Arabidopsis thaliana: one gene and its partner. The protein of the gene in region 1 interacts with the protein of each later gene in a pairwise test. Each region holds a gene or a part of one and is shown in the gene's direction. Other genes may lie near its edges. The genes, in order: AT1G07560 and SMO1-2.

Region 1 (6,591 bases):
GCATATTTGTTCAAAGGCAACATACCATCATTTTGATTTGTTTCTGATTGAGGAAACTCAATGCCCGTGAAAATTTCGAAAGCATTCATCAAGGGTGGAAGAGTCGATTTCGGAGTTTTTATAAGTTGCAGACGACAAAATCCTCCCTCGCATGTCAGTGGTACATTGTTGAACATAACTTGTGCTTCAAATCTGGTAGGACGGAAAGGATCGAAATGAACTTTATTATTTACCACAACTTCGAATTCTCTAGTTTCATTGGCCTGGACTTCCATGATCTCGGCGATGTAAATATAACCGTAAACCTGGTCAGTAGCCGTCTTCAAATTCCAGGTAATGGTCATTGGATCACTGGCATTAGCGGGCATGGCGCCGGTCCTAAGTACATCTTGTGGTGGGTCATAGCCATCTATAGAATCAATAACGTGGTGACTTGTGTTTATATGCGTCCATTCTGGTAATATCAACGGCACCCAAATTCTATCATGCACATCTTGGGGATAACTGCCAAAATCAAGTTATATATTTTACTTTACATCAACTAATAACAATAATTAATACTGTATAATCTTGGTTTACGCTAGATGGCTTAAATGACAATAATATTAAAGTTTTTGTGGAGATTAAAGTTTCTGCTCATAATCTACTTTGGTTATTTATAAAGCATAAGGTGAAAATAAGGTACCGTATATAGTTGTTTGAATCGGTGAAATAGAACCGGTTATAATTCCTCAAGGAACCGGTTTGAGCAATATAAGTATCATATAGCAAGGGTCTCAACTCTATGGATGATATCATTGGTGTACTCGTCCCTGTCTTGACGAGACATATGTCCAAGATGTTAGACCTTGTGATGTGAATGATCTCCTCCAGAACTCCATCACCTGACTTCCCCATATCTATGGTTGTCCAAATATTAGGACCAAGATAGAGGTCGAATCTTGGAGAATTGTTAAGCCCGTCATAGTTTCCATATCGAAACATAACCCTGATTAGATAATTTGTGTCTTGCTTGACATTTAGACTGTAACAATTTCGGATTCCATCCGGAAAGTATCTCAAAACCGTATATGGCTTCCTGAGTTTCATAAGCAAGTCTTTTTGGACATTACCAGTTTTTCCTCCTTGAATGAAATCAGCATCGGATATGTACGTCAGATTGCTATTTGCTTCGTTGTAAGGAGACTCGTTAGAAGCTAATCCACAATCCAAACTGATGAATCCTGGTAAGACCGAAAAGGGAGAGGTACATATTGTTTTTCTTATATAAAGTTCTATCTCAAAAAAAAATTTAGAATGGTTTATTTCCAAAATTATTGTAAAAAAGAAAAACAGATGATAAAAAGACCTTGTTGATTCTGAGATTGAACAAGATGTAAGATGGATAAAGTGGCACACGCAGCAAACAGAAGCCTGGTGCAAGTGTCCATTTTTGATGATTTCTTCGTTCACAACTAACAAAACTTACTACTACCAAAGTTTTGAAATGGACAAATTTTTAGTGTTATAAGCTGCAAATGGAATTAATCATGGTGACGTCTACGTATAAATTTTGTTTTAAAAACTTAAACTTTTGCCATGGTTTTATCTAACGAATAATAACAGCTAACCACTGGTATAATATCCATATAAAATAAATCAAGACGTTAGTGGTTGATTATAAAATTTTTGAAATGAAAAATATGCAACCAGGTTATATACTCTCTATATTTTAAAAATCTCGATTCATTTGTTCACTTTTGCTTATATTCGTGGTTTGATTCTGACACGATCGGTGACTTTGCCATATATGAATATGACATCCCTTCACACACACGGTAATAACTCATTTTCTCAGGTTAATCTACTATAGGTGTGCTTGATGATAACCAATTAGAATCAATCAGTTCTACTAATTTCCACTTGCAAACCTTTTTTATAAAATTTAAACATGACACACACTTGTCAGATTTTATAATTCCACTTGAGAAAAGTCTTACCATAATCAAATTATTAGACAAATTATTTCGAATTTGGTTAGAAGATCGGTCCAACTCAATAGGTGGCTTATTGTTATTGGTATGTGAACGTTGACATATTTCCCGTTATGATCCGCCCCAAGCAGAAATATAAGTTAATAAATAATTATTTAACAATTCATCCGTTTTTTATATCCAAAGGTTTGATTTGGCATGTTTTATATTGCAAGTACATTGGCAATTCGTAATCCTTTTTTTTTTTTGGACAGAGGTGGGAAAATGAAAAACCTCCGTGGACTTCTATTGGCCTTCCTAGTTTTGTCTTTAGGCATTTCCGATTTTCTTCGAGCACAAGATCAACAAGGTATAACTTTTTTTGTTTCAGGTTTTCTTCTTTTAACTTTGACTAAACATGTTTCCTATCACAATTTAGTCATTAATTCAGTTTCCAAACTTATTTTTTTACCAAATTATTTCTCTGTTTTTTTTCTTTTGCCTTTATCAGGATTCATCAGTTTGGATTGCGGGTTGCAAGCCGATGAGTCTCCTTATACCGAACCATTAACAAAGTTAACATTCACATCAGACGCCGATTTCATCAAAAGTGGAAAAAGCGGCAAGATTCAAAATGTTCCGGGGATGGAGTATATAAAGCCATACACGGTTTTGAGATATTTTCCAGATGGAGTACGAAACTGTTATACTCTTATCGTCATACAAGGCACAAACTATCTGATCGTAGCCATGTTTACTTATGGAAACTACGATAATCTTAACACACACCCAAAGTTCGACCTTTATCTTGGTCCAAATATATGGACCACGGTCGATTTGCAAAGAAATGTAAACGGAACAAGGGCGGAAATCATTCACATACCAAGGTCAACTTCTTTGCAGATTTGTCTTGTTAAGACGGGAACAACTACGCCGCTAATATCAGCTTTAGAACTACGACCATTGAGAAATAATACTTATATTCCTCAATCTGGTTCCCTCAAGACATTGTTCCGCGTCCATTTGACTGATTCCAAAGAAACTGTTCGGTAAGCCAACTCAAAACCAATTGGTAATGAATAGATTGGTTTCCACTGGATACACTGTTCGGTAATACTTTCCATCCTTTCTCTTCAGGTATCCAGAAGATGTCCATGATCGTCTTTGGAGTCCATTTTTCATGCCGGAATGGAGACTGTTAAGAACAAGTCTCACGGTCAACACTTCTGATGATAACGGCTATGACATACCGGAAGACGTAGTGGTTACGGCAGCCACACCTGCAAATGTGAGTTCACCATTAACCATTTCTTGGAATTTGGAAACACCTGACGACTTAGTTTATGCATACCTCCACGTCGCTGAGATCCAATCCTTAAGGGAAAATGATACCAGGGAATTCAACATTAGCGCAGGCCAAGATGTTAACTATGGACCTGTTAGTCCTGACGAGTTTCTAGTGGGTACTCTATTCAATACATCACCAGTTAAATGTGAAGGAGGGACATGCCATTTGCAACTAATAAAAACTCCAAAATCAACTCTCCCTCCCCTCCTCAATGCTATTGAGGCTTTTATAACAGTGGAGTTTCCGCAGTCTGAAACTAATGCAAATGACGGTATGTCAGCAAAATCTGAGTATATATATACTTTTTTGTATATACTTAAGTGTTTTCATTCTGTTATTGTGTGTTAGTCCTTGCTATCAAGAGCATAGAAACAAGCTATGGATTAAGTAGAATTAGTTGGCAAGGAGATCCATGTGTTCCTCAACAATTATTGTGGGATGGTCTTACCTGCGAGTACACCAATATGTCTACACCACCAAGAATCCATTCCTTGTACGTCCATGGCTATTCGTAACATTAAAACAGTTTTTTGTTAAGCTCTGCATTTCGTAACATCTTACACTTTAAATGTGTGTTATGATCTTTAATTACCACCAGAGACTTGTCCTCAAGTGAACTAACTGGAATTATAGTTCCTGAGATCCAAAATCTTACGGAGCTTAAAAAATTGTAAGTATGAACACATTGCCAATTTTTTATCAAGGTCAAACACATACTCTGTTTTACCTGAATACTCTGTTTTACTTGAATACTCTGTTTATCAAGGCCAAACATATAATCAATTAATTCATTTTTGCATATGATAGGGACTTTTCAAATAATAATCTAACAGGTGGAGTACCTGAATTTCTAGCCAAAATGAAATCATTGTTAGTCATGTAAGTTACTTGGTCACTCATATGAATCACATTGCCAATTTATTATCCGAGTCTGTTGATGTTTATTTTTTACCTAGGCAGAAACTTAAGCGGAAACAACCTTAGTGGATCAGTCCCTCAAGCTCTTCTCAACAAAGTGAAAAATGGGTTGAAGTTGAAGTAAGATCTTCTCAACTATATTTAGTCTTCAATAGTTGATGGTCATTGAAATATGATATCTTAATTTGCAGTATGTCTTCACTAACACTTGATTAGCTTGTTTACAATACTAGCATTCAGGGAAATCCAAACCTATGTTTTTCCAGTTCATGCAACAAAAAGAAAAATAGCATCATGTTACCAGTTGTTGCATCACTTGCTTCTTTGGCTGCTATAATAGCAATGATCGCTCTGCTTTTTGTTTGTATTAAAAGACGCTCATCAAGCAGAAAAGGTATCTGTATCAAATTCATCAAACCAGAAATATTATTGTATGCATACATAATTATAAAGTGATTTCTAATTATTTGTGTATGGTTCTAGGTCCATCACCAAGCCAACAATCAATAGAAACAATAAAGAAAAGATATACATATGCCGAAGTTCTTGCCATGACAAAGAAATTTGAAAGGGTTTTGGGTAAAGGAGGATTTGGAATGGTCTATCATGGTTATATAAATGGTACTGAAGAAGTAGCGGTCAAGCTACTCTCTCCATCATCAGCTCAAGGCTATAAAGAGTTCAAAACAGAGGTTTCTTTGGCACCCTTATGAATTTTTATACATTTTTGTAAGGCTAAGTTGACGTATATTATATATTGTACATATTTGGATAGGTAGAACTTCTTCTAAGGGTTTACCACACAAATCTGGTAAGTCTTGTTGGATACTGTGATGAAAAAGATCATCTGGCCCTCATCTACCAGTACATGGTCAATGGCGATTTGAAAAAACATTTTTCAGGTAACACATGTATATTCTCATGCATATATCATGACAGAAATGCATCGTGTTGATATGTGACATTCATGTCTATGCTAATACATGCAGGTAGCTCCATCATTAGCTGGGTTGATAGACTAAACATAGCTGTTGATGCAGCGTCAGGTTCGTCATTTTCATTTCCTTTTAACACCACTTGATCAAACTTTCTATTGTTTTGTTAAACACCAAAGAACTTTGGAGACAGGTTTGGAGTACTTGCATATTGGTTGCAAACCGCTGATAGTTCATAGAGATGTAAAAAGTTCTAACATACTATTGGACGATCAATTACAAGCTAAGCTTGCAGATTTTGGGCTTTCTAGATCTTTTCCCATTGGGGATGAATCTCATGTGTCTACACTTGTTGCTGGAACATTTGGATACCTTGATCATGAGTAAGAATTTTAGCTCTTTCTGAAAACTATCTTCTCTACCGGTTAAAACAAAAGAATCATAATCATTTCGTCTTGCAGATACTACCAAACTAATAGGTTGTCTGAGAAGAGTGATGTCTACAGTTTTGGTGTTGTACTGCTAGAAATTATTACAAACAAACCGGTGATCGATCATAACCGCGACATGCCTCACATAGCAGAATGGGTGAAACTTATGCTTACTAGAGGAGACATTAGCAATATTATGGATCCTAAACTTCAAGGGGTCTATGACTCTGGTTCTGCATGGAAAGCTCTTGAATTAGCAATGACATGTGTGAATCCTTCTTCCTTGAAAAGACCCAACATGTCCCATGTTGTTCATGAGCTGAAGGAGTGTCTGGTATCTGAAAACAACAGGACAAGAGACATAGACACATCGAGATCCATGGACATTAACTTAAGCTTTGGCACAGATGTGAACCCCAAGGCACGTTAGTCTTTTACTCTTTACTTTGCAGCATTCATAACAAGCAGATATGCGAACGAACTTATCATTATGTTGATGAATCCTCATGTTACAAAGATCAAAATTAAATGTTTGTCGTAGTGTAATGAGAGGTGAACTGTATTTAAACAGAATTCTTACATTAAGAGAGACAAAAACTGTACATCCAGATTCCATTCTCAGGACATGATATAGGAACTTCATGTCCTGCAAATGTTTTACCAAGAACACTGAACACAGACCCAGGACGTGTTTAACCCTATTCAAACATACAGTGGCGAGGCTGATGGGCGAGGATAAGCAACAACTGTACTGCCAACAGCAGTCTGTCGAGCAAAACCTGCATTCACTTTTTTGCTGACAACACTGTCACTTCTCCTACGCATTCTTCTATCTGTTTTATCCATATTTCCTCCTATAGCAGCATTTAAAGACTGAATGTGTTCGAGGTGCGAAACAACCTCGCTCATGTTTGGTCTCAGCTTAATCTCTGTGGTGAGACATCTCAGAGACAGAGTAGCCACTTTACATGCTTCTTCCATAGAGTACTGGTCCTGAAGACGATTAT
Region 2 (4,698 bases), on another chromosome or scaffold:
GAATTTGTTGATTTGAAAAAATAGAAGCAAACGACTCTGACCTCTTGATTGATCGGAGATGAAGACGAGGGCGAATATAAGTTCAACAACGACGGAGACGAAGCGAAAACCTCAGAGCGAATCCTAGGCAAGTAAACGATCGGTTTTGTTTCTTCTTCCATCGGTAAACCTCTCATCGGCGATGGTCGCCGCAAGTGATTACTCTGTCCGTCGCGGTGGCGATTAAGACTCGGCTCTGAGAAGCTTCTCTCGAAAACCTTATTACTCGATTTAGAGCGATTATTCTTGTCGGAAACATATCTGAAAGCTGTTCGTCTTGTTCTGGAGCTCCGACCTCCATTTCCTACAGGATTCGAAACTTTTCTCCGGTGAATCGAATCAGACATTTCGTGAATGATGATCTTTGCTTAAGGAGGAGGAAGAAGAAAAAACAATTGAGAGGTTTTGGTGGTTTGCTTGGCAAAGAAGCGAATTAAGAGTTATTCTCTGCTTTTGCTTTGCTTTACTCTTTTATTATCTTCTTTTCTTTCATTTGTATTTTTCAAATGTTTTTCCAAATCAAATTGTTTTTTTTTTTCTTTTTAACATAAGTGTGGATTTTAACATTTAAATTCAAACCGACCAAAAAAAATACACGATTAAAGGTAGTAATATAGACGTGGTTCTTGTAATATAGTATTTATATTTCCTGTCGACGATCGATTCTTTTATAGTATGATATCTTGTGCTGATTCTTACGTACTTGTGTTTATTATAGTAAAATAGAAATGCGTTGAATTGTAGCACTGTATTAGATTAAAACTTCTATGTAATTATGGAGCTAAAATGTTTTCTGGTTAGCATACGGAGTATTTTTTAAAAAATCTATCCTTATTATGGATAAAATGTGTTGGAAAAAGGCAATAATATACTTGTACAAATGAATATAAATTTCTTGATGCATTGTTTTAGAAGATTACTTGGGAGACTCACAATCCTATAAAGTGTAAAGGAAACAAAACTATTGGATTTGTAGAAAAGTTGACACGTTAAACAAGAAAACGAGAAACCCAAACAAGTTTCGTAAAACACAAAAAATCTAAGGTGATAGTGAGAAGCACATAAACAAATGAAAAAAAACACATAAACAATTAGAGAGGAGGGAGACTCAACTAGTATCATCAATTCATTAAATTTTACGAAAGTGCTGAGTAATGGAAGTAATATAAAAAATTTATAACCAAAAACAAGAATTCATCAACGTCAAGAAAAAACAACATAAAATAAAAAGGAGAATTTGTGTGGCTGAGATTGGTCCGAGGTTTGTTTCCACTGTTAAAAGAAAGAACTTTTGGGCTTGATTTAAAGTCATTAATGGTGTGGTCGACTTCTCTTATGCCATACGCACTCATGTTCACGCGTAACGCACTTGTTTTCCACCAAGTATTTAACAACGATCGTTTGTGACCCTTTTTTATGTATACTTGAAACTTAAAAAATATGTATTATTACATTTAAATATCATTTATTGTCATGACGAAAAAATTGTAAGACTTTATAATTTCAAATGTAACGTCACTTTTCGTGATGATGTAATACCATTCTATTACTTAAATACAATTGGCCAACAGCCTCAATTTATTTCAACCTTTTGCTATCTCTATAGTATAATGGTGTCATAAAAATTCATAGACACATTCCACAAAACTCGTGTATGTATATCCGTGTCTTTATATATATGTGTATATCCAAGTGTATAATAAAGTTTTTTTTCTTAAAAAAAAAAACAGAAATTTGTATGCACCATTTAAACAATTAAAGAAAGAAAATTGGGCCTACTCCAAACACAACGCTACTGTGGAGTACATTTTATCCATTTTAATGGCCCAATAATTTATAATGGGCTTTTAGTATGGGCCATTTTGTCCCTCTTTTTTATGTTGTAAGCGAGATCTTGAGACAATGTTAGTAATTTTGGTTTAATCCGGTTCAACAAGTAAACATCACACTTGTAAACTAAACCGATAATGCCACGTCACTACTCCAAATATTCGCCAAATCATAACAGACAAAATCCAACAACAACGACGACACTCTCCTCTCTCACTCTCTCTCTCAATCTCAATCTCAATCTCACGTCAACGACCGTCGCCGTCACCGGAAGGAAACGATTTCATCATCTTCTACAATGATCCCATACGCAACAATCGAAGAAGCGTCGATCGCATTATCTCGAAACCTCACATGGCTAGAGACTCTCTGGTTCGATTACTCCGCCACCAAATCCGATTACTACCTCTACTGCCACAACATTCTCTTCCTCTTCCTCATCTTCTCTCTCGTTCCTCTCCCTCTCGTTTTCATCGAATCATCTCAATCCACCTCAGATTTGTTCAATCGCTACAAAATCCAACCAAAAGTGAAAAACTCATTCTCATCGATGTTCAAATGTTACAAAGACGTCATGAAGATGTTCATCCTCGTCGTTGGTCCATTACAACTCGTTTCTTATCCTTCGATTCAGGTTAATTTCTGGAATTTGGCTTCTAATTTCGGAATTGATGCGATTTAGGTTGATTTTGTTTTTCGTGTGTTGAAACAGATGATTGAGATACGAAGTGGATTACCATTACCATCATGTATGGAGATTGTAGCACAGTTAGTGGTTTACTTCTTGGTAGAGGATTATACTAATTACTGGGTTCATAGATTCTTTCATTGTAAATGGGGTTATGAGAAGTTTCATCATATTCATCATGAGTATACAGCTCCTATTGGTTATGCTGCTCCTTATGCTCATTGGGCTGAGGTTTTGCTTCTTGGCATTCCCACGTTTCTTGGACCTGCTATTGCTCCTGGTCATATGATTACCTTTTGGTTGTGGATTGCTTTACGACAGATTGAGGCTATCGAAACTCATAGCGGGTAAGGAAAAGGAATGGTTTTGAATTGTTTATCTTAGTTTATAATGCGTTGGGGCTATGTGGGAAGTTTCAATAGTGCGTTTACCTTTTGTTGGTGGGGCTAAGGTTAGGCACTAGCCTTTTCTGATGCTTTATTGACTGTAATTAGCTCTAGGTGATTGTTTAGAGACTGCTTAGTTAATCTTTTGTGGTCAACATGAGCAAGAAATCATTCTTGAGATGATAAGCATCTTGTCTTGTTCAAATAAGTATTTGGACAATATGATGATTGCTTGGTGCATGAAACTTGTTTCTCTGGAGATAAATTGACTTGTTTTTTTTATTTTTCGTTTTCTTTTGAAGATATGATTTCCCATGGTCTCTGACAAAGTACATTCCATTTTATGGTGGAGCTGAGTATCATGATTACCATCACTACGTTGGAGGACAAAGCCAGAGTAACTTTGCTTCAGTTTTTACTTACTGCGATTACATCTATGGAACTGATAAAGTGAGTAATGAAACTTCAGTTCTTTTCCGGTTAGCGTCTACTAATTCTGGATAAAAATTTGACAATGTGGGTATATGTTCTTATTTTCATCAGGGTTACCGATTCCAGAAGAAGCTTCTTCAGCAGGTAAATAAATACTCCATAAACTGAGACTAGCTTATCTCTCGGCATACCGCATACCCATAAACGCAGCCATCAAATTGCAAGCTCACATAACAGTATATGTGGTATCTAGTATCATCATATTGATGATATGTTTCTTGATGCTATATCTTATGAGTTGCAGATGAAGGAGAAGTCCAAGAAGAGCAACAAGCTGGTTAATGGAGGAGAGAAATTCGATTAGTAAATCTAAAACCCCTCGCGAGGTTGACTTACCGTAAGTTTCAAGCATTCTACAAATGTAGTCAATACTTAAAAATGAAAGGGTAGTTAGTTTTCTCTGTTCTGGTCTTCCCTGTGTCACATGAAAATGCTCGTGACGAGTTCCTATCTGAAGTTTTTTTTAAAACTCTTTTGGAATTGGTGTGTGTCAATAAATCCTTTTTGTATATTTTAAATGTTACATAGTGCATTCATTGGCTTGTAACAAGTTCCTACTCTGATAGTATTAAGTTAAGTTAAGTATAACTTAAGTATCTAACGTTAACAACAAGGCCCGTCTAGCTCAGTTGGTAGAGCGCAAGGCTCTTAACCTTGTGGTCGTGGGTTCGAGCCCCACGGTGGGCGTTTCTTTTCCTTTTTGTTGCATTTGAGTGGCATGATTTAAAAGGAAAATCCTTACCATAACGATAGTTGCATTGATGATGGGGGTCGATTTCACTCTCGGAAAACAAATCTAATCAAAGAAGGCTAAAACAAGCGAAACACATGCATTTACTAAAGCTGTCTCACCAAACTTGAAAACAACAGTTTTAAGTACAGTAGTAGGTACAATAACTTATTTAGTTGTTACCAACTAATTTATGACTTTAAAATCGAAACACTCTCTTCCTTCCTGTGTTTTTTCAACTAAACCTAACAACACACAGTTTTTCTTTAACACACATTTCCTTGTTCTCGTTGTCTTAGAATTACCATGGACACAGTGAATATGATAATAACTTCAAGAATGGGGTTGTAGCTGTGTGAGGCTATATTTTTTTTTTTGGTTTAATGAGGCTATATTGTAAACTACTTCAATAAGTTTTTACTCTTAAACCAATTCACGAAAGAGTTTTAATGAACTTGATATTAAGTTTTTGTCCACACATATTTTGTGTATCAACGAGTTTTTCTTTTCTAGACGTATGGATCATCACTCTT

What was found.
Region 2: the proteins of AT1G07560 (region 1) and SMO1-2 interact in a protein complementation assay, tested with the Arabidopsis thaliana proteins (one large-scale study listed by BioGRID).

The regions. Positions count from the first base shown.
Region 1 is NC_003070.9:2,325,083-2,331,673, forward strand, and holds AT1G07560 (Leucine-rich repeat protein kinase family protein), read left to right. Parts: upstream 1-2,232; 5' UTR 2,233-2,237; coding exon 2,238-2,322; intron 2,323-2,463; coding exon 2,464-3,001; intron 3,002-3,089; coding exon 3,090-3,571; intron 3,572-3,648; coding exon 3,649-3,793; intron 3,794-3,898; coding exon 3,899-3,970; intron 3,971-4,107; coding exon 4,108-4,179; intron 4,180-4,260; coding exon 4,261-4,338; intron 4,339-4,451; coding exon 4,452-4,612; intron 4,613-4,701; coding exon 4,702-4,910; intron 4,911-4,993; coding exon 4,994-5,120; intron 5,121-5,207; coding exon 5,208-5,264; intron 5,265-5,346; coding exon 5,347-5,536; intron 5,537-5,614; coding exon 5,615-6,014; 3' UTR 6,015-6,066; downstream 6,067-6,591. Other genes in the region: AT1G07550 (Leucine-rich repeat protein kinase family protein), read right to left, coding at 26-504, 686-1,223, 1,349-1,430; APK1A (Protein kinase superfamily protein), read right to left, coding at 6,287-6,591.
Region 2 is NC_003075.7:11,954,165-11,958,862, reverse strand, and holds SMO1-2 (sterol C4-methyl oxidase 1-2), read left to right. Parts: upstream 1-1,944; 5' UTR 1,945-2,167; coding exon 2,168-2,503; intron 2,504-2,581; coding exon 2,582-2,904; intron 2,905-3,245; coding exon 3,246-3,393; intron 3,394-3,486; coding exon 3,487-3,519; intron 3,520-3,679; coding exon 3,680-3,739; 3' UTR 3,740-4,023; downstream 4,024-4,698. Other genes in the region: AT4G22758 (PPR containing protein), read right to left, coding at 42-386. UniProt on the Arabidopsis thaliana protein: Non-heme iron oxygenase involved in sterols biosynthesis by catalyzing the removal of the first methyl group at the C-4 position. 4,4-dimethyl-9-beta,19-cyclopropylsterols such as 24-methylenecycloartanol are the preferred substrates.